Styela clava: one gene and its partners. The protein of the gene in region 1 binds, or shares a complex with, the protein of each later gene. Links are inferred from orthologs where the notes say so. Each region holds a gene or a part of one and is shown in the gene's direction. Other genes may lie near its edges.

Region 1 (7,618 bases):
TATGCTGGTGAAACACTTCGACTGCTTATTTGCCGATGGTGAAACAGGCCGCGTTTTTGTTCCGCTGTGCGGAAAAACTCTGGACATGATATTTCTAGCTGATAAAGGGCTTGAAGTTGTTGGATTGGAGTTCTCAGAAATCGGAGTTGAAGGGTTTTTCAAAGACAACAATTTGACCTACAAGAAAATGGATGTTGTAAATCAGCCTTTGGTGCAGTACAAATGCAACGAGAAAAATATCACTATTTACAGAGGTGATATGTTTAATTTGAACCCAGATGTCTGTGGCCAATTTGATGGCATTTGGGATCGTGGAAGTTATGTCGCAATCAATATCCCTACTCAGCAGAAATATGCTGATATTATTTTACAACTGATGAAACCAGAGGCGAAAATATTGATGGAGACTTTCACTTATGACACGTCGAGATACGGTGGACCTCCACATTGCATAACCTTAGAAAATTTACAAAGCACTTTTGGGTCAAAATGTGAAATTAAAGTTGTTGATACAATGACCATGCTCGCACATCCCGTTTTCAATGCAGGAGATATGATTATGACTCTTCCCTATTGTCTTCTTTCAATGAAATAAAGTTTTAAATTGACCATTGTGAATCAGATATAATATAGAGAGTCATGAAGTGTTGAACAACTTACAACTTTACTTTTAATCCTGGTTTCTGATTAACATGTTAATTTATTAAAGAACATAAATTAGTCAACATTCTGTAGTATCATTCTGATTTATTAAGTAAAATTAATGTTTGTTGTTTTGATTGTGGGAAGGGTAGTGCAGCCAATCAAAAGGTGTACGTCTATTTCTTATTAAAATCAAATTTATTCACGTTTTTGTCCAAATAATGTCGGTGTATTTTATAGTAATACCAATTTTAATTCAAAATAAATCTTATTTTATAAATAAAATAAATGAGAACTACAAGCACAATAAGATCGATTAATATACAAAGACAAAGAAATTTTTATTTGTTGATACTATAAAATCGGGAGAAACTTTTTGGACACCTGTATATTTCTAAATTGCTTGCTTTTTATAAGTATTTGTAATAAATACTTGTCTCACTCTGAATCGTTTACTAGTCAAAATGCTTCCTATAGAATATGAATATAAAGTCCAATTTTCTTCAAAAGCAGTTTCATATGTTTTAAGTTTTCAAATTTTATTTCCATTTCATAGACTATGAAGTAATATCTGTGTTTGAAATTTTTGGTTGATTCTACTGTATTTACATGCACTAAATATGTAAACCTTTTTTCTAAATAATTGCACTATGCAGGATGATTTGACATATATTTTTCCTTGTCTTGTATTCATATCATGATTTAGTAAAAAAGAGTAATAGTACTACCGTATATCCTCACATATAAGCAGAGTTTAAAACTCGAAAAAAAAGTTGCCAAACTAAGGCTTATACGCACATAACTCTGATCGCACTCAAAGGAATTGACGATGTTTTTCACGATTATTTACCTATGTTAACCCCAGTGATCAATATAGTATTTCATGATATGAATAACTTCAATAATGTAGGTCAAGAAAGCTCTTCATTCATAACTAGGTGCTAAGTCTTATTAATATTCATATATATTGACTTAATTTTATATATAATTACAGACCTTAGAAAGTAAAATATCACTATATTCTACAAACATGGAAACTAATCCTTTACCTAGGAGAGAAGTGGCCGTAGATGAATGGAAATGGTCAGCAGATCAAGACCCGAAATTTCATAGGAAAAATTACAGTCAGTTGCTAGTGAAACATTTTGAGAAACTTTTTGAAAATGGAACGACTGGACGTGTTTTCGTTCCACTTTGTGGAAAAACGATGGATTTGATTTTCTTGGAAGAAAAAGGATTAGAGGTGGTCGGTCTTGAGTTTTCAAAAATTGGAATCGAAGCATTTTTTGAAGAAAATAACTTGACATACTCAGAATCAACCTGTTCTGATAGCTGTCTTGTGGTTTACAAATGTAAGGAGAAGAATATTACTATTTACAGAGGTGATATTTTTGATCTAAAACCAGAATTATGTGGTCAGTTTGATGGGTTCTGGGACCGCGGAAGTTACGTCGCGATAAATATTCCCACTCAGCAAAAATACACAGACTTAATCTTCAGTCTGATGAAGCCAAAAGCAAAAATCTTGATGGAATCTATCACTTATGATATGTCAAAGTGCAAAGGTCCACCTCACTGCATCACGATTGAGAACCTTCAGGGCACATTTGGGGAAAAATGTAACATAGAAGTTATTGATATGATAAAGTATCCGGCAAATTTCCAACCAGATTTGGAATTGACAATTCGACTTTGCTTTATTTCTTTCAAGTGAAATAAATAAGTTGATTTTATAATATTAATAACAGTAATTTTGTGCAATTGCTGATTCATTACATAATTTTGTGCAATTGCTGATTCATTACATAATTTTATGCATATGGTTTTTCATTAAATAATTAGCACCACAGCTAGATTGATAATTTTTTTTTTAAATCCTTCCTTTGAACATTATTATCTAATGCAGGGGTGTGCAACCTTGAATACTGGATGGCTAAATGAAACTAACTGGGTTAAACTGCAGGCCACACCTTTATTGAAATAGACTCTCTAGTGATGCAGCCATGCAGGCTTAAAAATTTTGGTATTTATCTTACGACATGCGTTGTTCGCACAAGCTAGCTGTTTTAGGGGCATTGTAACGTCATAAGCATAGATAAAAAAAAAAATTGGACTCTGGTATTGACTTGGGATTCTTGCACGTATCAGATTAAACTAAATTAAAAACTTTTGCGGGCTGCGCAATTTTTCCTTGTGTGGCTCACGGGCCGCAGGTTACACACCCCTGATCTAACAAATTAACCTCACCCTCCATGAGATTTCAATCAGCATTTTATTATCTCTTGTAATGTCACTCATCTTGCCACTTCAGAATTTTTAATATGTAAATAATGTAGGAAATTGGAATTAGTTTGATTTTAAACTGGATATCGTTGTTCAGTATTTATCTAATTGGTAGAAACGGTGGTAGGGTCTAGGGCAGGGCAACATCCGGCCTGCGAAATTTAAGCATTTACCCCTTTTTCTTGCAACCCTATAATTATAAGAGCTTTTCTTATTTTTGTTTTGTGCAATCCCACTTGCTGTTGTCCTAGGAATATTAAGCGCAATATACTGGCATCCCTGTCGAATGGAAATACTCTAAATTTGGCCTGAAGTTAAAAGTTTGTGTATGGAATATGATAAAAGACCAGTGGTTTCCTAAACGTTCACGGTCCATGGCTGCATTGCAATATTTTAAACACTTGTGTGACCTGCTTTTCAATATTAACACCTAGTTTTGATTTTAACTCGTTTCTATCAGTTCAATACGGTGCAATGTTCAATACTGTAAAGACTACAAAAGAAAGCAAAATAATAAATGTATTGCACATGAAGAACTGTTGTACATGTTTTGGGCATCTATGCGTACAGTGAAATTACATTACATTGCAGAGCAAATATTATATTATATCTTAATTTTAATTGTTCAGTTTTTTTGATGTTGCTATTTAACTAAGTTCACAAAACTGCATTTTACAGTGTAATCGTCCCTGCATTTATACTGTATTTGTCTGACAGAATATTTATTAACGTGAAGTATATGATATTGCAATTCATGCCAAAAATGCAGTTTTTCTTGGTTTTAAAAACCTAATATTTTGAAATTAATTTTGTCCTCAGATTCTTGTGTGCTTACATGCCAAAATTGTTTCATTTTCCTGTTCATTTCTAATATGATACCTTCACTCAGTAAATGCAAAAGTATTAATTGATAAACAGTGTGTTTATAAAGTCCTGTTGCAACCCAGATTTGTTATGATGTCAGTTCTTAATATTTCTTGGCCAAATTTTGTTTTATTTTAATCAGTGATTAATTAATTTTTCCACTTCGTTTAATAGGCTTTCTTTATATTGTTCAATTTTATCAGAAATATTCAAATCATTTGTTCGATCCTATATGACTAAATGAAGTGGCAGACATGACCCTGTGGTCCCCAAGCTTTTTTTAAAAATATCACTCTATCGATTTTGGAATTTTTTATTTCTTCCTCACTATGTCACACTAATTGTCCAATCTTTAATGGATTCTTTGCTAGTGTTACGCATAAGTAATGAGGCATGAAAAAAAATCATAAATAACCATACACTTGTTGCTGAGTATTTTTGATGTTTTTTGCAAACCCTCGTCATTTGCAGCTTTAATATTGTTTTGTTTTATTTATCTATTCGTATAAATTTAAGCATTTTTGACCAAACCTAGATGAAAATCTGATTCTGTCTCGCAGACACAGTGCCATCCATTTCTCAGTGAATTTACATTATGTAACAGTAAACATATTACGTTAAAATACTCAAATACTTAAATACCCAGGGTGTAATATAAAAAATCGGGGAGGAAATGCAGAACAAGAAATATTTGTGTCCTTCCAGACTATACTTCCCTACCTAGCAGTATGCAACAATATACGTTGTAAAAAACAATACGTTGTATAAAAAATAGTACAGGAAAAATATTTTAAAGCCATTATGTTTTTAAAGTTCGAAAACAAAAAATTTTCATATTTTATTGATCATATTTAATCCAGTTAATAACTATGGCTGGTCTTGAATTGGTAACTGATGAAGGGTATAGAATTGATGGCAGACTACCAACAGAACTACGCCGGATTCGTTGTCGTCTTGGAGTGTTTTCACAAGCCGACGGTTCGTCCTATTTAGAGCAAGGGAACACTAAGGTACATGAAATTGGTTATATTTTTTTCTATAAAGACTTATTTTATCTAAGTTCTACTCAAACAGCTCCTTAACGAAAAAAACTTTTCAAATGAACGGAAATTTCCTGCTTTGGGATTCACTGTCTTATTTAGTTTATTTTGGCCAGACCTTGATCAATTCAGGTCCATCTGTATTCCGAATCGATTTCTTGGTATAAATTGAAGCTCAAAAGTGTCCTTCATAAAAGTTTTGAGGTGTGGTGCATTTGGCTGAGGCATGATAAAGGAAAAAATTTTCAAATTTATTTTAAGATGAGAGTAAAGTTAATAAGATGGCCTAATCATATGTCAGTAACTGACTTATGTATATACCAGTCCAGCGATCCCCTCGCACTAACTTATCCTCCACGAGATTAAAACATTGGAACTCCTAATGGGTTATAAGCAGTAGTGGGATTCAGCCAGTTCGCACCAGTTCTATAAAACCGTATCACGGAATTTCATGAGATCAGCGCACCGGTTAGGATTACTGGTTACTCCCAATGACTTTTGCGCGGCGGTGTGGCTCAACGAGCTAAACGTTAGGAATACGCTCGCCACCGCACCTCTAACTACTCTGCGTGGGTTCGCAGGTTCGAATCCCATGCAGGGATGGTTATGTGCGAGAGGATTGCTGGACTCCTCGCCGTCGTTGGGTGGTTCATGTAACCGCTGGTCGGTTACGGCTTCCTCCACCACCAAGTCCATGCTTCCGAAAACAAACAATACAGTAAAACTAATCCCATACCCGACTTGGAATGGTAACCGGACGAGAGGCCGTGGTTCGCCATATGGATAAGCTGTCTTATCGGCTTTCCTCTCCCCCGGGATAAATATGTAAATCCTATCCTATCCTAACAGAACCAGGTGAAAAATATGACTTTAGTAATGGAACCGGCTGACAAAAATATTGAATCCCACCACTGGTTATAAGTAATGTAATGACAAGCTTAATGTGCCAACCGCCGAGCCGGTTACAATCCTAAATGAACTCTTTATTGCAATTTACATATATTTTATAAATAATTATATCATGTCACAAATGTCACATACATCATTTGTCCATTTGCACTTCACAATAAGTTTGAGTAGAATATGTGATAACTTTGAAAAATGTTATTATTTTTTTTATTTTTATAACATTAATTGGTATAAGAATTTCATTAATAATCGATGCTTAATCATTTGGTGAACCATGGCCTCTCATCTCCATCATTGTATAACAATGAGCCGGTTTATAATTTCAAAAATTAAATTTTCAGATATTAGCTGCAGTCTATGGACCACATGAACCATCATCTAATATGAGAGGACAGGTAAGATAATAAGGATTGAGTTGAGTCATGAAATCTTCATGTTGAGGTGTAAGCTCTTCACGAAGCTTTGAACAGTATTTAGGGGTGTAAAAGCCAGTACAGGGAGTCCTCAGGTTACAGCGGTCGCGACTTACACTGTTTCGATGTTACGCACTCCATAAAAATATAAAAGATAATACTGTACTGTCTGTAATATCTAAGCCCTTAAACTGGATCATTGTGATCAAGAAATCAGTGCTTTGGACTCATTATTTTTTTTTTTTACACCGTGAATGACGTGGACAATTGCAAGTATTACGATTATGAACAAATAATCACTAAGCTTCAGTCGCATGGTACACAGTTTCAGTGATACTGTTCGCCATTTTGGTTGTTCCGACTTGCACTGAAATTCGGGTTACATCGCATCACAAGAACGGAACAACCTCGTAAGTCGAGGACAACCTGACAGTATGTGTTCTGGAGTTTTTCTCTTTCTCTCAAGGCTCTGGTGCTGGTGCAAAAAGGCTTTGGGCAAACAACTGATATACAGTTAGAAAGGGGAATGCGGACCTACTATTTTCAATCAGTGGTGACTAGGCCAGGGTTTACTCGAACTAGAGGCTCAGATTCACAAAGAAAATTTGTGACTTGCGCGTAGGGCTGAGAAGCCCAACTACAAAGATTTAACAATTAATCCGACATTCTAATTTTTAAATGTTTGGCACAACTTTCAAAAATATTAATATTTTTATTTTCCCACAGCTAAAAATTGTGGAAGATAGAAATGGGAATTACCAGCAGTCACGCTGTACAGATAGATACTTGAGCCTCTTTTTCCATTTACTCCAATCATCTAACAAAATAACATGACTAATCGCCATAGAGACTTTTATTTGGGACTCGAAGACATTGTTGTTTACAAAACTCAAGAGTTGAGTATAAATGCGATTTGAGGAAATTTGCTGTGATTGGTCTTGGCTATTGGTTTAAGGACCGTAAACTGTCATTAAATTTACCTGAGAAATATCTTTGAAAAACCCTGATTTCGCTTGTATGAAGATAAAAGATAGTTGAATACTTTCTTTATTATTATTTATCTATCCACAGATTCTCAGTGACAAAGCATTTCTGAACTGTGAATACAGTCAAGCAACATTTAGTACTGCTGAGAGGAAACATCGGTCACGCGGGGACAGAAAGGGTCAAGAATTGTCTATGCACATTAAACAGACTTTTGAAGCTGCTATTTTAACTGAATTATATCCAAGGTGAGAAAAGTTAAAATCGGTTATCAGTTATGTCAAAAATGGATTGAATATTCAAATTCATTCAACATTCGAATATTCAATTTACTAGTACTTTATACCCGATTTCAGCAATAAATTGAGAAATCTTACATTTGAAAATTTCCTGATATGTCATGGTCGAATGAAAAATTGAAAATCCTAACAGTAAAAGAACAGAAAATCAATCAAGATAACCACTACTATGAAACATCAGCCC
Region 2 (7,159 bases), on another chromosome or scaffold:
TGCACTTTCGGTGCAATGTTTATTTTCACCGTAACCAATGAATGATTCTGCGTTTTATTCTAATTATTAAAGTAAAAGTATTTATTTTTGACTGTGAAAATCACAGTCGGAATATATATATATGGGTGTTAGCACGAGCAACATTCTATGATATACCAAAATTAGGTTCAGTTGTTGCATCGGATTCCTTGCCAAATTGTATCATAAATTTCTGCCATGTGGTGTTAATTATGTGTGAGAGGATTGCTGAACTCCTATCCAATGTAGGGTGGTTAACGTAACCGCTGGTCGGTAACGGCTTCCTCCACCATCACGTCCATGCATCTGAAAACGATTAACTGGCTAACTAATTTCATATTAAACATTGCCATATGATTAACCCGACATATTGGCTGTCCAGGATAAATATGTGAATCCTATCTATCACGGCATACCGCCAACACAGCAAATATCTTGCGAGCCGCATTAAATATCTTGCGAGCCGCATGCGGCTTGCCCACCGTTGCTATATCAGATTGATTTCCTAAAAAAAGCATGGGCAAGGAGCCTGGGTGACCTGACCGGTTTTGCATACTGGCCCTCACTAATAATGATCAGATAATGATCAACCAATTATAGTTAATTATATTTTAGTCTGTTACTCCAAATGTATCATAGTGTTGACATTGTTTGTGATAATAGAATTTCTCTCTCTCACCGTTTGAAAACAATAGATGTATCCCAGGACATCGATTTTCTTATTTATTTCCGTAAAAAAATCAGCAATAAATTAACAATGACGTAACAATTGGAATTTATGCTGCCGCTCAGACAGCTCTTTCGCTCAGACATTCAAGCGTGGTGTAAACATTGCCTCGTTTTGCGTGTAATTTGCCAGTCTCCAGTTCTGAAAAATAGTTGTAAATCAAACAAATTAATTGTCACTGTGGGTTCTGAGTACCTTTAGATGCGGTGTGGCGCATCGTGCTAAGCGTTAGGAATACGCTCGCCACCGCATCTCTGGTTACCCTTCACGGGTTCGCAGGTTCGAATCCCATGCGGGGGTGATCATGTGCGGAGGATTGCTGGACTCCTCGCCGCCGTATAGGATGGTTCACGTAACCGCTGGTCGGTTACGGCTTCCTCCGCCATCAAGTCCATGCTTCCGAAAACAAAATAACTGGCTAATAAATCCCATACCCGACCTGGACTGGTAACCGGACGAGAGGCCGTGGTTCGCCATATGTTCATTGATACCTTAACAATGGATCAAAATGACCATTGTTATGCTGCAGATAGTAAACGCTTGACTGATCTTCTGTTCCGTCGCATTTCTTGTCGGCGAATGCATGGGAATTAATGGATGAAGTGACAATCATACTTTGTAAAAATTTAACGTTTTGAAACACGATATGTGGGATATTTGATAGTAATAGAAAGTTTGTAACTTCAGCTCAATGATTTAGCTAATAAGGACCTTGATGATAATAGGTGATCGTAAAAATCGATTGCTTTTCAGAGGATGGATATCCCAACAATTTCCGTGTCCAAAGCTTGCGAAATACTTATCTTAAGCATGATTAACCTAAATTTGGCATATTGTCCCGGCACAAAATGTCATAATAAAGGGTCGATTAGACTCGCGTTACAATACACACTTTCAGTGGCACAGCCAAGATTTTCAAAGCGGTGGGAAGATCAAAATTCGGAAATTTCCATGAAATGGGTCCTGAAAAACATTCGCCGAATTACGCCACTCGTAAAAATAGTCGGATTTTTTCAAATTGTCAACATACGGAAGGTCGAAAACTTGAATACCACGTGTAGTGTAATTTGAGATTAATTTAATGCAGTGCTTGAATCAGGGATGTCCAATTCGAAGGTAATATTTGAATATCGCGACCTTCGAATATCGTTTTTTCGAGTTTATAAGCGCACATATCCTAGCGCCGCGGTCCATGTTCCGATTAAAAACATTTTACAAATACTTCATTTTTATCGTAATCGGAGGCAGCCGTGTACGCAAGGCAATATATTACAGCCGCATGGGAAGATTTCAATTAGCGCTGACTTGAATTGGTTATAACACGTCGGAGATTTACGAATAATATACGAAATTATTATCGTACATTTAAAATTTAGTTGAGATAGTTTGTGAGGCCTCGGCGATAATTCTAAAAGCAAATTGTGTCGCTATTTATCGTTTTCATCCTCAATTTCGATAGTGACCGTACATCACGGGAAATTTTTCATTCCTTGCAATTTAGAGCGTGTGGAATAGCTCTTAAATATTATTCAGTATCTATTACGAATTTTATCGTTTTCCCGACGTCGTTGATGACAATCAAAAATGAAATCGTAACTACTGGCATGAAATATTTATAACAGCACTGAATCGAATAATAAAACACGATTTCCGGTCTTAACTCTCCATCATTGACGGATGGAAATTCAGGAATCGGATTCACTTTGATGGCGCCCCAGAAGTATGTGCACCAAGATGGTGGACACCGGAACGTAGTATGTGTACCAGGTTCGAGTTCAGCCACAATTTTTCCTTATTTTTGTTCTATTATGAGTTCCGGGACTAGCCAAGTGACTCCCGTATAGTATTTGTACCTGAAATTATGGCCCAACCCTAACCTGGTACACATACTACATTCCGGTGTCCGCCATCTTGGTTCACATACTTCGGGAGTACCCATTTGATTATGAAAATGATCGCGTAATGATATTTGCGTTTTTTCTGAATCAACAAATGGTTTAGTGAGCAAAATGAAATAATAATAAAAAACTCAGATCGCCATCCTCTCGCTCTACACGGTCTACCGTTCGAAGTTTTTATTGGTTATTCCTCTATTCTTTCTATGTGTACATTTTCTTTTTATTATGTGGTAATTTAATTCTAACATGTTATTGTTACGGGTTTACCCGGTATTAAAATTTATATAAATGTTACGTCCGAGTTTTGTGTAGGCTTAGAACGAATTAAGGCATTTATATGAAAACTGCGTCCTTACTTACAGAATTTTCTACTTAAGATGGGGCTCCCGAAACGAATTAATTTTGTAGGTAGAGTTTCTAATGTATTGACAGCCAGTTATAAGATATCGTATTTAAAAAAAATTCCAAGATTTACTCTAAAATCCCAAAGTCTACCCAAATTTATATTGGTACTCCTCTCTGCCACTTCTATTATTTTTTATGAAAAATCCCTAGGTCTCGGATAAAATATCAAAAAACTACGATTTGTTTTAGTACATTAAAAATTGACTGAATACGCCTTTATATATATACATTATACTATATTCCATAATAACCAGAGTAAAAGTTGCATGTGGCCCCAACGATAGTTTCAGAATGCCTTAAAACAGGGATGTGCAAACTGTGGCTCGATAAGAAAATTTGTACCGCTCGCGGAGAAGCGCCAATTTTGAATGGTGTTGCCATTTAATTTTGAATGTTGTTTTTAGATCATTTAATTTGGTATATGCCGGAGGAAATTTTTGATTCAGGGAGAATAAACACCGACGTAAAGATGTTTAATAAGGTATAACGTTTCTCGCTGACGAAAACAGTCGGCGATTGTACCAAAATGCAATCGCGCAGCAACCTTTTAAGTCTTCCAAAAATATCAAAAGGAAAAAGATTCGACCCCTAATTTATTAATATGTTGGTCAAGTGTTAAATTTACAGCCTTAATATATATGATTTATCTTTGAAATTTAGATTTATTTATGACTTGTATTAACCCTATTAAAAAAGGTTTAGCATTTAAATCGAGTAAAGTACTTTTAACTTACTCAGTAGTATTAATCGTTAAGTAACAATTTTAAAATTTATTTTAGGGCTCCTTGAATAATAGTCAACATCTTCACGGGCTCCGCAACACCAAAAGTTTGAGAACCCCTGCAATAGACTATATCAGACCAAAATTAGCTATCGATGCCTATAAGCGGCATGTGGCTTATCGTAATAAATAAAAATGAAAGTTCTGAACATGTGAGCCAGTTTGTAAGCGCTAACACTCCAAAACGTTCTCAAAATCGAAGTTGTAAATTTTGCAATGATAAAGTATGGGGAGAATCTTCCAGGGGTCAAGGGTCGGGGAAACGTCCATAATCTTGTTGTGGCGCACATGTGCCACCTCATGGAAGACAAAATAAACGAGATGAAGTTCGCCACACAACAGTCAACAGCTCCAATTTCGTGTTTTCCTGCTAACTTCACAGAGATAACGAAATTGCGTGGTTTTCAGTATCATAGTTTGGAGATAGTGTACGGTACCGCTGGTCGGTGGTATGACTGAAATCTGAATCGTGGAATAGCCAATCGGTAATGGAATCAGGAATTCTAATTCGTCGGCCTGCTGCATACTCGAAGTTGCCCACGAAGAAGGGCTCACACGGATTGGCACATTTCGTAACTCCTGGAGATATTGTCACAGATGATACAGATTATATGAGAGGGCATGGTGAGACAACAATGTTGTTTACCTATAACAGTATAAAGGCATCTTTTCATTTGCAAATTTATATGACAAAGAACTGACCAATTCTTGTTTGGAGTTTCAGAGTTTTATGTATTTTTCCATTGCAAGTTTTCTCCTTTATGTTCAGGAAGTTACATGAGAGATGAAAAACTTCATGCTTGTGTTGCTGGTGTTGTGGAACGGATAAATAAACTTATCAGCGTGAAACCTCTCAAACTGCGTTATAATGGTGAAGTTGGTGATATTGTTGTTGGAAGGATAAAGGAAGTTCAACAAAAAAGATGGAAGGTATAAAATTGTTTTTACATAAACATTTTGATATCAATTATTGACCTCTCACACTTTTTATAAATGCTTATTGGCATTATCCAAATAAAGTCCAACTGAATATTGTTATTTTGAATGTAATTCAGATAATTTAAAAGACGTCAAAATCAGCACACTCATTGAACATATTTTTTATATAGAAACCGTTTCACACTCTTAATGAGCAAGTCACTGGACAAGCAATCACTGATACATACTTAGTAATGGGGTTTGTGAAGACCTCATTATTTCTGTTTTGAAGCCCACCTTTGTCTATTTCAGTTAGTTGGCCCCAATTCTATTTCTTAGATTGAAATAGCATAAATTAACAGCACTGTCATTTTTCCAAAGAAATTGGATTATGTTGACAACACAAACTAGTTTGAATAGAAATAAAGTAAAAGAAAACAGTAAACAAATTTCTTGCCTGAATACCTGTGCAAACAAATAGACGCAAGGGAAAAAAAAGTTAAAAAGTTGTTCATTTAAATATGTGTATTTTACCACTGCCCTCTCTATTTTCAGGTGAACACCAATTCCAGAGTAGATTCGGTTTTACATCTTTCATTTGTTAATTTGCCTGGTGGTGAACTAAGAAGAAGATCAGCTGCTGATCAACTAACAATGAGAGAATATTTAAAAGAAGGAGATCTGATCAGCGCTGAAGTTCAACAGGTCTGTACAATCTTTATTATTTGTGTTCATATTTGAAATATTACTTAAACCAGGATCGTGCACACTCACTCAAAAGTTAAAGATGTCACCTTTGAATAGAGTCATTGGCTACTATTGAAATATCAAGGGAAACTGAAACCACACAGATATATGTTAATAATTGATGACTCACACATAAGTCAGGTTTTTCTCAACTGGACATTGGCAGACTGAATAGCAGTTCTTATGAGCAAAACATATATGAGTTTATTCATGTAACTTGTTATGTATCAATGTAATGCAATACAGTTTATCATCATTAACAAATCTATTCAACTCAGTGTCATATGTTTTTGTCATTTACAGTGAATATACTGCCAATTTTTTTTAATGTGGCTTAGGTGCATAATGATGGATCTCTTTCACTACATACAAGGAGTCTGAGATATGGGAAATTGGGGCAAGGTTGCTTAGTTGTAGTTTCTCCATCATTGGTAAAAAGAAGGAAAAATCATATTCACAATTTACCATGTGGTGCTACTGTTGTTCTTGCAAATAACGGCTTTATTTGGATCTATGCAACACCTGCTACTGATAATGAGGAAATGGATAAAGGTTGGTTTGAAGAATCGTTGAATGACTGGTTTGAATCGAATGTTCAGTCACTAAACTTATTCAATCTTACAAAAATATCAGAGTTTTGTGAATTCATTTATTTTGTAATGCTGAGGAGACTTTGTGAAGCTCGTAATATCATGCTCTTATCATGTTACATCTTACTCTAATTCATTCTAAATTTGCTCCCGGCTTTGAGTAGATAATCTTGATCCTGGTTTTGCAAAAAATGGCCCTCAGCCCGCTAAGTGGCTACAATTATTTAGAGTCAATTGGCGGTTTCGTTCGTTTGCAGGCGTTTTATATTAGGCTGCGTTGCATATAACACATGTTGATTGTGTTATATTATGTTGAGGGTCTTCAGAACCAGTCGTTTAGACTCTGATACTAGCCTCAGATTTGCGCAAATTTGTTTCTGAATCCAAACAAGAGATAGCAAAGCATTGACATTCTTTGAATTTATCATAGAATCAACTGATTTTGCTCTGCACTAATCCTGGCCAAGAGCAAGAATCATATTTGCTGCCAATTATTTCTTCAAATGCTTTGCAACAATTGTTGTTTTATAGGTCATGGCGGATTTGTTGCAGATGTTGAACCAGTGGCATTAGAAGATAGAGAAGTTATTTGTAGACTTCGGAATTGTATAAAATGTCTTGCACAACATAATATACAACTTTATGATACAAGTATAATGTACACCTATGATGTTTCACTCAGCCATCAGGTTTGTTGTTTGTAAAACATATCAATTACACTGTCCTGCGGGGGATGATGCATAAATGGAATAGGTAGGTAAGTGACCATGATTCAGTGCAGAGGTCACCAAAAGGGTGGTCTCCCTCCTGTCCAATTTCCCACCCGTTCTGCAACGAACTAATTTTTACACTCACTTGTCATAATTGTCGTGTAAATGTATGGGATGCCAACCCAGTTTGTGTCGAGCATTTCAATTGCATATATAAATAATATATTTAGGTGGCATGCATGAGTATATTTAAGTATCTTTGATTAGTATTCTGGTAAAATTTTTGCTATTCAGATCAAGGAACTACTCAATCCTGACATCATGAGTGATGTTGTAAATCAAGCTGTGTTGAGGTTACGAAGAGA
Region 3 (6,414 bases), on another chromosome or scaffold:
GGAGTCTCGCAATTTTCTCGCACATATTTAACCCTTTCCATGCGATTTTTATCTTTTATTAAATAATCGTATTTGCTACACCGACTTTATGCATTTGTACCCCCACAACTAATCGATCGACTAACGAAAAAGTAATGATCCTCTGCTGCCCACTGACGGCTCGTTGGAAAGCTTATTTAAAGAGCTTGCAATTGGCGATTGAAAATTTTATTTTTTCAAAAGGGGTGGTCTGAGTCACAAACCGGATAGAAAAAAGGCATTTTTTTTCTTGGGTGTTGAAACTTCAAACCGTGAAAAAAAATAGAAATATTCGCTAAATCCTTTACTGTTACCGCTTCTTGGTTGGCAAACAATAGCATAATATTGCTGTAGCAATTTCGTTATCTAACTCAAAATACTTTGGTAGATGGAAGGAATAATATGTCTTCTATTACCACCCAAAAAACACCGAAATTTGCATAAATTTCAAAAATACTCCCTCGTTCCGCCGCAAATAAAATTCCCATGGTAAACGAAAGCGAGATTTACCGTCGCTTATGTTAATCTCGAAGAAGACTTCTTATCAATAAACTAAAACCCGGAAAAACTAGACCAACAGTTTGCGACCGATTGCTAAATAAAACAGTGGAGTACATCAACGTACCCGCCGCAAACTAGCGAGTTTTGTCGTGGGTACGTATACGTGCCCACCGCACAGAAAGGGTTAATAACCCCACAAGATTAGAACATGCGAACCAATGCAGGGTAATCAGAGGTGCGGTGGCAAGCGTATTCCTAGCGCTTGAAACGATTTACCAAACCGCCGAGCCGGCAATGTGGACATAAGATATAAATTACCACGTCAAATCTTCAAACACTGAATGGTATAACTTTGTATTTAATATAGAATAATTTTTCAGTGTAAAATTACACTTTTGCATTAGCATTGGTGGGCATTTTCACATCTTATAATCGATATTGGAGGATGTTTCAAACTCCCAAGGGTGGAAGTAGAAATTTCAGACCTAAAAGAGTCCTAATCTGTGACAACTTGAAAATGCAAGTCAATGTATCCCTTTGTTTATATATATATCTGCAGTCAAGCGATGATTGCTGTAGCATTTTAAATCAGACACCAATCATTGCTGTACTGTAGATGTAGTGTGTTAATTCTTTCAACTTTATTCATTTAACTATTGAGCCGCTTACTGTTAGCATCAGCAATTCGATACGTATTTGTTTTCTTGTTTAATAACATTTACTTGTGTTATATTTTACTTTAGATTCATTCTAATTTCTGAGTGGGCTTTAAATTTAAGTTGAATAAAGCCTTATATCAAGGTACTATATTTCTCATTCATTACTTAATCAAAGTCAAAATTTTGGCCAAAACTGAAAATAAGGAATTATGTTGACAAAGCATGATCAACACACCACAAAAGAGTCAAAAGTTCTTCGCAAACTAAAGTTGGAGTCATAGTTTTTAAATTGCTCAGAGTTTGGAGTCAGGTTCAAATTACTATTACTAAACATCCCAGTACATCAATGATAACAGTTACCTTGTTATTCTTGAGTCCATTGCATAAACCAACACATCCTGCATCACCAAATTCATTGTAATCTAAGTTGATTTCAACAAGATTTGAAACCCTGAATGCTTTAGAAAATCTGGCAACAGTGAAATGTTGAATGTCACAATCCATGAGCTCAATTCTTCTTACTGGATAAAAACCTTTTTCCAGAAGTAGTGCCTGTTATGAAATATTTAATATTATCATTAATTTAGAAAGCAAATATTTTTTCACTTTCATACACATTTTTGGTACTTCCGTAATGTGTATACCAGGCCATAATTTTATTTCGATTTTCCTTATTTTAGTTTTATTACGAGTTCAGGAAGTGTCTGCCTAATACCATTTCAGGGACTGTCTGCGTTAGCCAAGTGAATATACTCCCTGCCCATAGGTTACAGTCTCTCTACACAACTTGATGTAAAGTAGGTGGACAAAATTAATTACCTCCATATTGGTATAGATACTTCTGAAATGCCCATTTTTTTCCCTGAAGACCATTTTTAAATATGATATTATAATTGTTATCTATTGTGATATATTATGAAAAACAGCTCAGTGTTTGGCGCATCGTGCTAAGTGTTAGGATCATGTTTGATCCTAATAAATAAAATATGAGTCGACGAATAAAATAAAATTACCAAGTCAGCAACTTCATCATGTTCTGTTTCTAAATCCCAGCAACATATTTCATGAACATGAGTGAATCTTTCGTTACGAATTGATCGGACGACAGGTCGCAACCTTACCGGAGGAGTATTAGGATCTTTCATTCCTACATCAACTTCTTCAATAATGAACTAAAATGGAAGCGTAGAATTTTATTTAAAATCAAATATTTTTTAAACAAATTATTACTCTGATGAATAGAAGATCTTCTACCTTACAATGACTGGTAACAATACAATGGTTTATCATTTGAATGAGGCCTCGTATCGGCTTTTTCCCACATTAATTTATAAAATCATATACATATTATACTTTTACCGAAGTGTTTATTCATGGGATAGGGTAGCAGACGAACTAGAAATTGAATTAAAATATTCAGCCCTTGACTGACATTCTAAACCTAGCATTGACCATTTTGTTGAGAAAAACCTTTTTGGCCCATTTCAATTTTTATATTACACTAAACCGGATAGAAAGAAATATTAGACAAAAATCTGAATACTGGCCATAAATATAGCTGCCGAATTTTGGCAAACGAGTTCATAAAACACGAAGAAATAAAAAAAATAAAAAATCGCTAATGTTATTGCAAAAATTTTCGACCAATCACCTTTCTCGCATACATTCTATCTTCAATTCCTTTCTTCAATGCTTTTTGTAACCAAACACAGGGTATGGATTTATCAAGCGTGCATTGCATTTCATACGTTCCTAAAAATTTCTTCTGATAAATATCTGAATCTTCATCCCATTTCACTCTTTTTGATTTCTTTTTCCCTCCCTTTCCTTTTTTGCCCTTTTTCGCCATTCGATTGTTTATTTGCTTTTATGAAATTTAACTTGGAAATCTATGACATAATGTGAATCTATGAAAAAGAAATGCAGGATTGACTGTAGCTTATTATATTCATTACCATGTTCCGAGCTTTTATACTTATCCTAGGATGAGAAAAACCAACCATTTCTATAAAAAAATTTAAACCTTATTCCTATTCTTTGATCTGATTTTATCATTTATTTTACTCCCTATTTTGCAGATTAATATACCTTTTTTACCGATTAATAGAATGAACAAACTACTGTAACCGATTTTGACTCATGATTCAGATTAGGTAGTTATATGAAGTGACTGAAAATTTCTATTCATGAATATTAATTCGTACGGGCAGTTATAATAGTATAATTTTTTTTGTAAGTTTATATATAACTTATATTTATAAATTTATTTATAAGTTTATTAAGTTGAAAGTTAAAACTTTGACATTGGATTGTAATCAGAAATATCCATCCCCCTTCGTGTTTAGTTTAAAAAGGGTAACTGTTCTCCCCAATGATAAAATCTAATGCATACCTAAATTTACTGAAATATTTACGAAGCTGAACCTCGTAAGGGTTGTGAGTTGTAACCATGACAAAGGGTACTTCAGCGTAGGGGAATCCCGTTACATTTTCGCATTTTTCTTGTGCCGTGTTGTCATCTTAAAACCAAAAGTATTTTGCATTCCTCATCTAAAATAACATGATTGTTTTTGAAATATGTAAATACAAATATTCAAAATACAAATTATCTGTAAACAACGACTTTTCCCAATATTCATATTTCTTATCGCTATATGTCGCTCGTGTAGCACGTTGGATCTTGTGAAAAAGCCATGCCTCCCTCGCTGGCAATGTGGATGCATTGGAATTTTGGGGGATTTCCCATGTTCCTGTCAAATTTGATGTCAGGCTGACTTTTATTATTTATATATACCGACGAAATGATAAAATTTAAGACTTAAAATGAGCATTTAATGATTGATTCATAGCATGTAGATCAGCATATTTTTTTTTATGTAGGCAGGTTTAGATGAAATTCAATATGACACATTCCTGCATTCTGAAACCCCCATGCTCTTCTATGACTGTATGACCATTTCTGCATGTTTGTTCATTTACTGATTTAAATTAAAAATTGAATTGAAAACGCTTATTCCCGTATTTGGCCATTATACAGTTATATCAGTATATTAAGTTACCTATATATTTTCATGGCTCATTATTTTTTTAGTTCCAGACAGTTCTAAATAAAAATGGCAGAACTATTGAAAAGCAGTCAAATATGTGTGCCGGGGGAACGTCTCGCAAGTGCTGAACACCATCGGGCAGGATTTGGAACTTATGTAAAACGAGGATATATATTTGCATCATTAGCTGGCATGGTTCGGAGCGAACAAAATGACAAGGATATAATTACTGTATCTGTGCGATCCAAGCACCATCAACAACTTCTCCCACAAATCGATTCCATAGTCACTTGTAAAGTCACAGGAATCAGCGGTCGCTTTGCAAAATGTTTAATTACAGCCGTTAATAACGCGAGGTTGTCCGAGCCATTGCGAGGCATCATAAGACGTGAGGACGTACGTGCAAAGGACATTGAAAAAGTTGAAATTCCGAAATGTTTTCGTCCCGGTGATGTAGTTTTAGCAAAAGTTTTGTCACTAGGTGATGCATCATCTTATTTGTTAACTACAGCGGAAAATGGACTCGGTGTTGTTCTTGCACGTAGTGAAGCCGGAGAACTGATGTTGCCTATCAGTTGGCAAGAAATGCAATGTCCTGTTTCGTATGTAAAAGAATCGCGTAAAGTTGCAAGACCACAGGAACATTATTTAAAACAATAAGATGTAGATTCTGGTAAAACATCATTGTTTCCCTGTCTTCTCAGTAAAAATCGGTGATGTTTCATCCTTCTCATTTGAAAATATTGCTCTCTGCGAAGTCAACTATTCCAATCATGTCGGTTACTAGCATTTCAATATAAATTCTCTCCTTATTAGAACATTCTTTGTTATTGCGTATTCTATCGTATCGTTTGATAGAAAGTGCTGCAGCTATTTACTTGGTTGGTTTTGAATATTGGAACTATAATTTTGCAGTTAAATTCATCAAACTTCGTTTAGATGTGTAATTTTCAAACTTGCCTATTCTACTAAGTATAAAATCTTAGTTTAAGTTACAAATAACATAATAAAAATGTGTGTATTTATTTTCCATGGATATTCACATGTTGCTCCGAAATTTATTATTTTTTGTGCCATTCCCAGTAACACACTATTTTTGGTTGTCCTTATTATCACTATTTTTAATTTTTATTAAAATTTTGGCATCTGATTATCAAAACAAATTAATGAGGAAATGTTAATTAAAATGGGTGGTCTTAATTAAAACAATATTTATAAATGAGTAAAGAAAAACAGTTCCACAAAAAAACTTCTGATTAAGCTTGAAATGTTATCGAAGAAATTCTAAGTTTCGCTCATGGAAAATAAAAATGAGTATTAAACAATATTTATTATCAACATTCGAAATTGGAAAGATAACAAAACGATTTGTTTGTAAATTTTTTTTTATAAAAGAATTGTTTCTCTCTGCATTCATGTCAATATTGACAAACTTATTTGTAAATTTGAATATAGAAAATTCAACTTCTGAAACTGAAAAATCTGTCCTTGTTAAAAATAGTTTCAAAGTCATGACGATTTATTTCAAATTGAATTTCCATTTTGTATGAATTGTCTTACATTTACAATCATATCTTTTTTTCCAGGTCAAATGATTGTTAGATAGGGAATACTTTCTTTATTTCCAATATGTTAATTTTCAAAAAGCTGTCGTTGCGGCCGTTTCCATATCTTTCAGTTCGATTCAAATCTTTAAAACCATACTCTAAGCACGCATTTTTATCAGGTGATTATGACATCACAAAGACATTTCCTAAAGACTCTTATGAATTTAATTACATACGAAACCTTGCTAATGGAATTAAGAATAAAGATCGGGCCACACTCGCTCGTGCTATAACTTTAGTTGAATCAACAAATAAACAGAAAAAATTGATGGGACAGATTTTGCTACAATTGGTAATATCGGAAACATCAAGATCTTCGCAAAAATCTTTTCGAATCGGACTTTCTGGACCCCCAGGTGCAGGGAAGTCTACATTCATTGAAACAATGGGAAGCTACCTTACTGAAAAACATGATTTAAAAGTCGCAATTCTAGCTGTAGACCCCTCTTCAAGTCGAACAGGGGGGTCACTTCTCGGAGATAAAACAAGAATGACAAACTTGTCTCGTAATCCGAAAGCATACATTCGTCCTTCACCTGCTCAGGGTACACTAGGTGGTGTAACACGAAACACTACTGAAGC

The links.
Region 2: exosome complex component RRP41-like (region 1) and exosome complex component RRP4-like share a complex: the UniProt entries of both Caenorhabditis elegans proteins name them as parts of the RNA exosome complex. The link is inferred for Styela clava from reciprocal best matches to the Caenorhabditis elegans genes exos-4.1 and exos-2.
Region 3: exosome complex component RRP41-like (region 1) and exosome complex component CSL4-like share a complex: the UniProt entries of both Caenorhabditis elegans proteins name them as parts of the RNA exosome complex. The link is inferred for Styela clava from reciprocal best matches to the Caenorhabditis elegans genes exos-4.1 and exos-1.

Annotation. Positions count from the first base shown.
Region 1 is NC_135257.1:18,366,694-18,374,311, reverse strand, and holds the start of exosome complex component RRP41-like, read left to right. Parts: upstream 1-4,564; 5' UTR 4,565-4,658; coding exon 4,659-4,799; intron 4,800-6,079; coding exon 6,080-6,133; intron 6,134-7,222; coding exon 7,223-7,383; intron 7,384-7,618. Other genes in the region: thiopurine S-methyltransferase-like, read left to right, coding at 1-595; thiopurine S-methyltransferase-like, read left to right, coding at 1,673-2,356. UniProt on the Caenorhabditis elegans protein: Non-catalytic component of the RNA exosome complex which has 3'->5' exoribonuclease activity and participates in a multitude of cellular RNA processing and degradation events.
Region 2 is NC_135254.1:13,467,803-13,474,961, reverse strand, and holds the start of exosome complex component RRP4-like, read left to right. Parts: upstream 1-4,142; 5' UTR 4,143-4,317; coding exon 4,318-4,453; intron 4,454-4,598; coding exon 4,599-4,759; intron 4,760-5,302; coding exon 5,303-5,452; intron 5,453-5,832; coding exon 5,833-6,046; intron 6,047-6,615; coding exon 6,616-6,773; intron 6,774-7,088; coding exon 7,089-7,159. UniProt on the Caenorhabditis elegans protein: Non-catalytic component of the RNA exosome complex which has 3'->5' exoribonuclease activity and participates in a multitude of cellular RNA processing and degradation events. Involved in regulation of antisense ribosomal siRNA production.
Region 3 is NC_135261.1:9,032,273-9,038,686, forward strand, and holds exosome complex component CSL4-like, read left to right. Parts: upstream 1-4,269; 5' UTR 4,270-4,291; coding exon 4,292-4,885; 3' UTR 4,886-5,811; downstream 5,812-6,414. Other genes in the region: uncharacterized protein LOC120329759, read right to left, coding at 1,539-1,730, 2,192-2,350, 2,830-3,027; methylmalonic aciduria type A protein, mitochondrial-like, read left to right, coding at 5,855-6,414. UniProt on the Caenorhabditis elegans protein: Non-catalytic component of the RNA exosome complex which has 3'->5' exoribonuclease activity and participates in a multitude of cellular RNA processing and degradation events. Involved in regulation of antisense ribosomal siRNA production.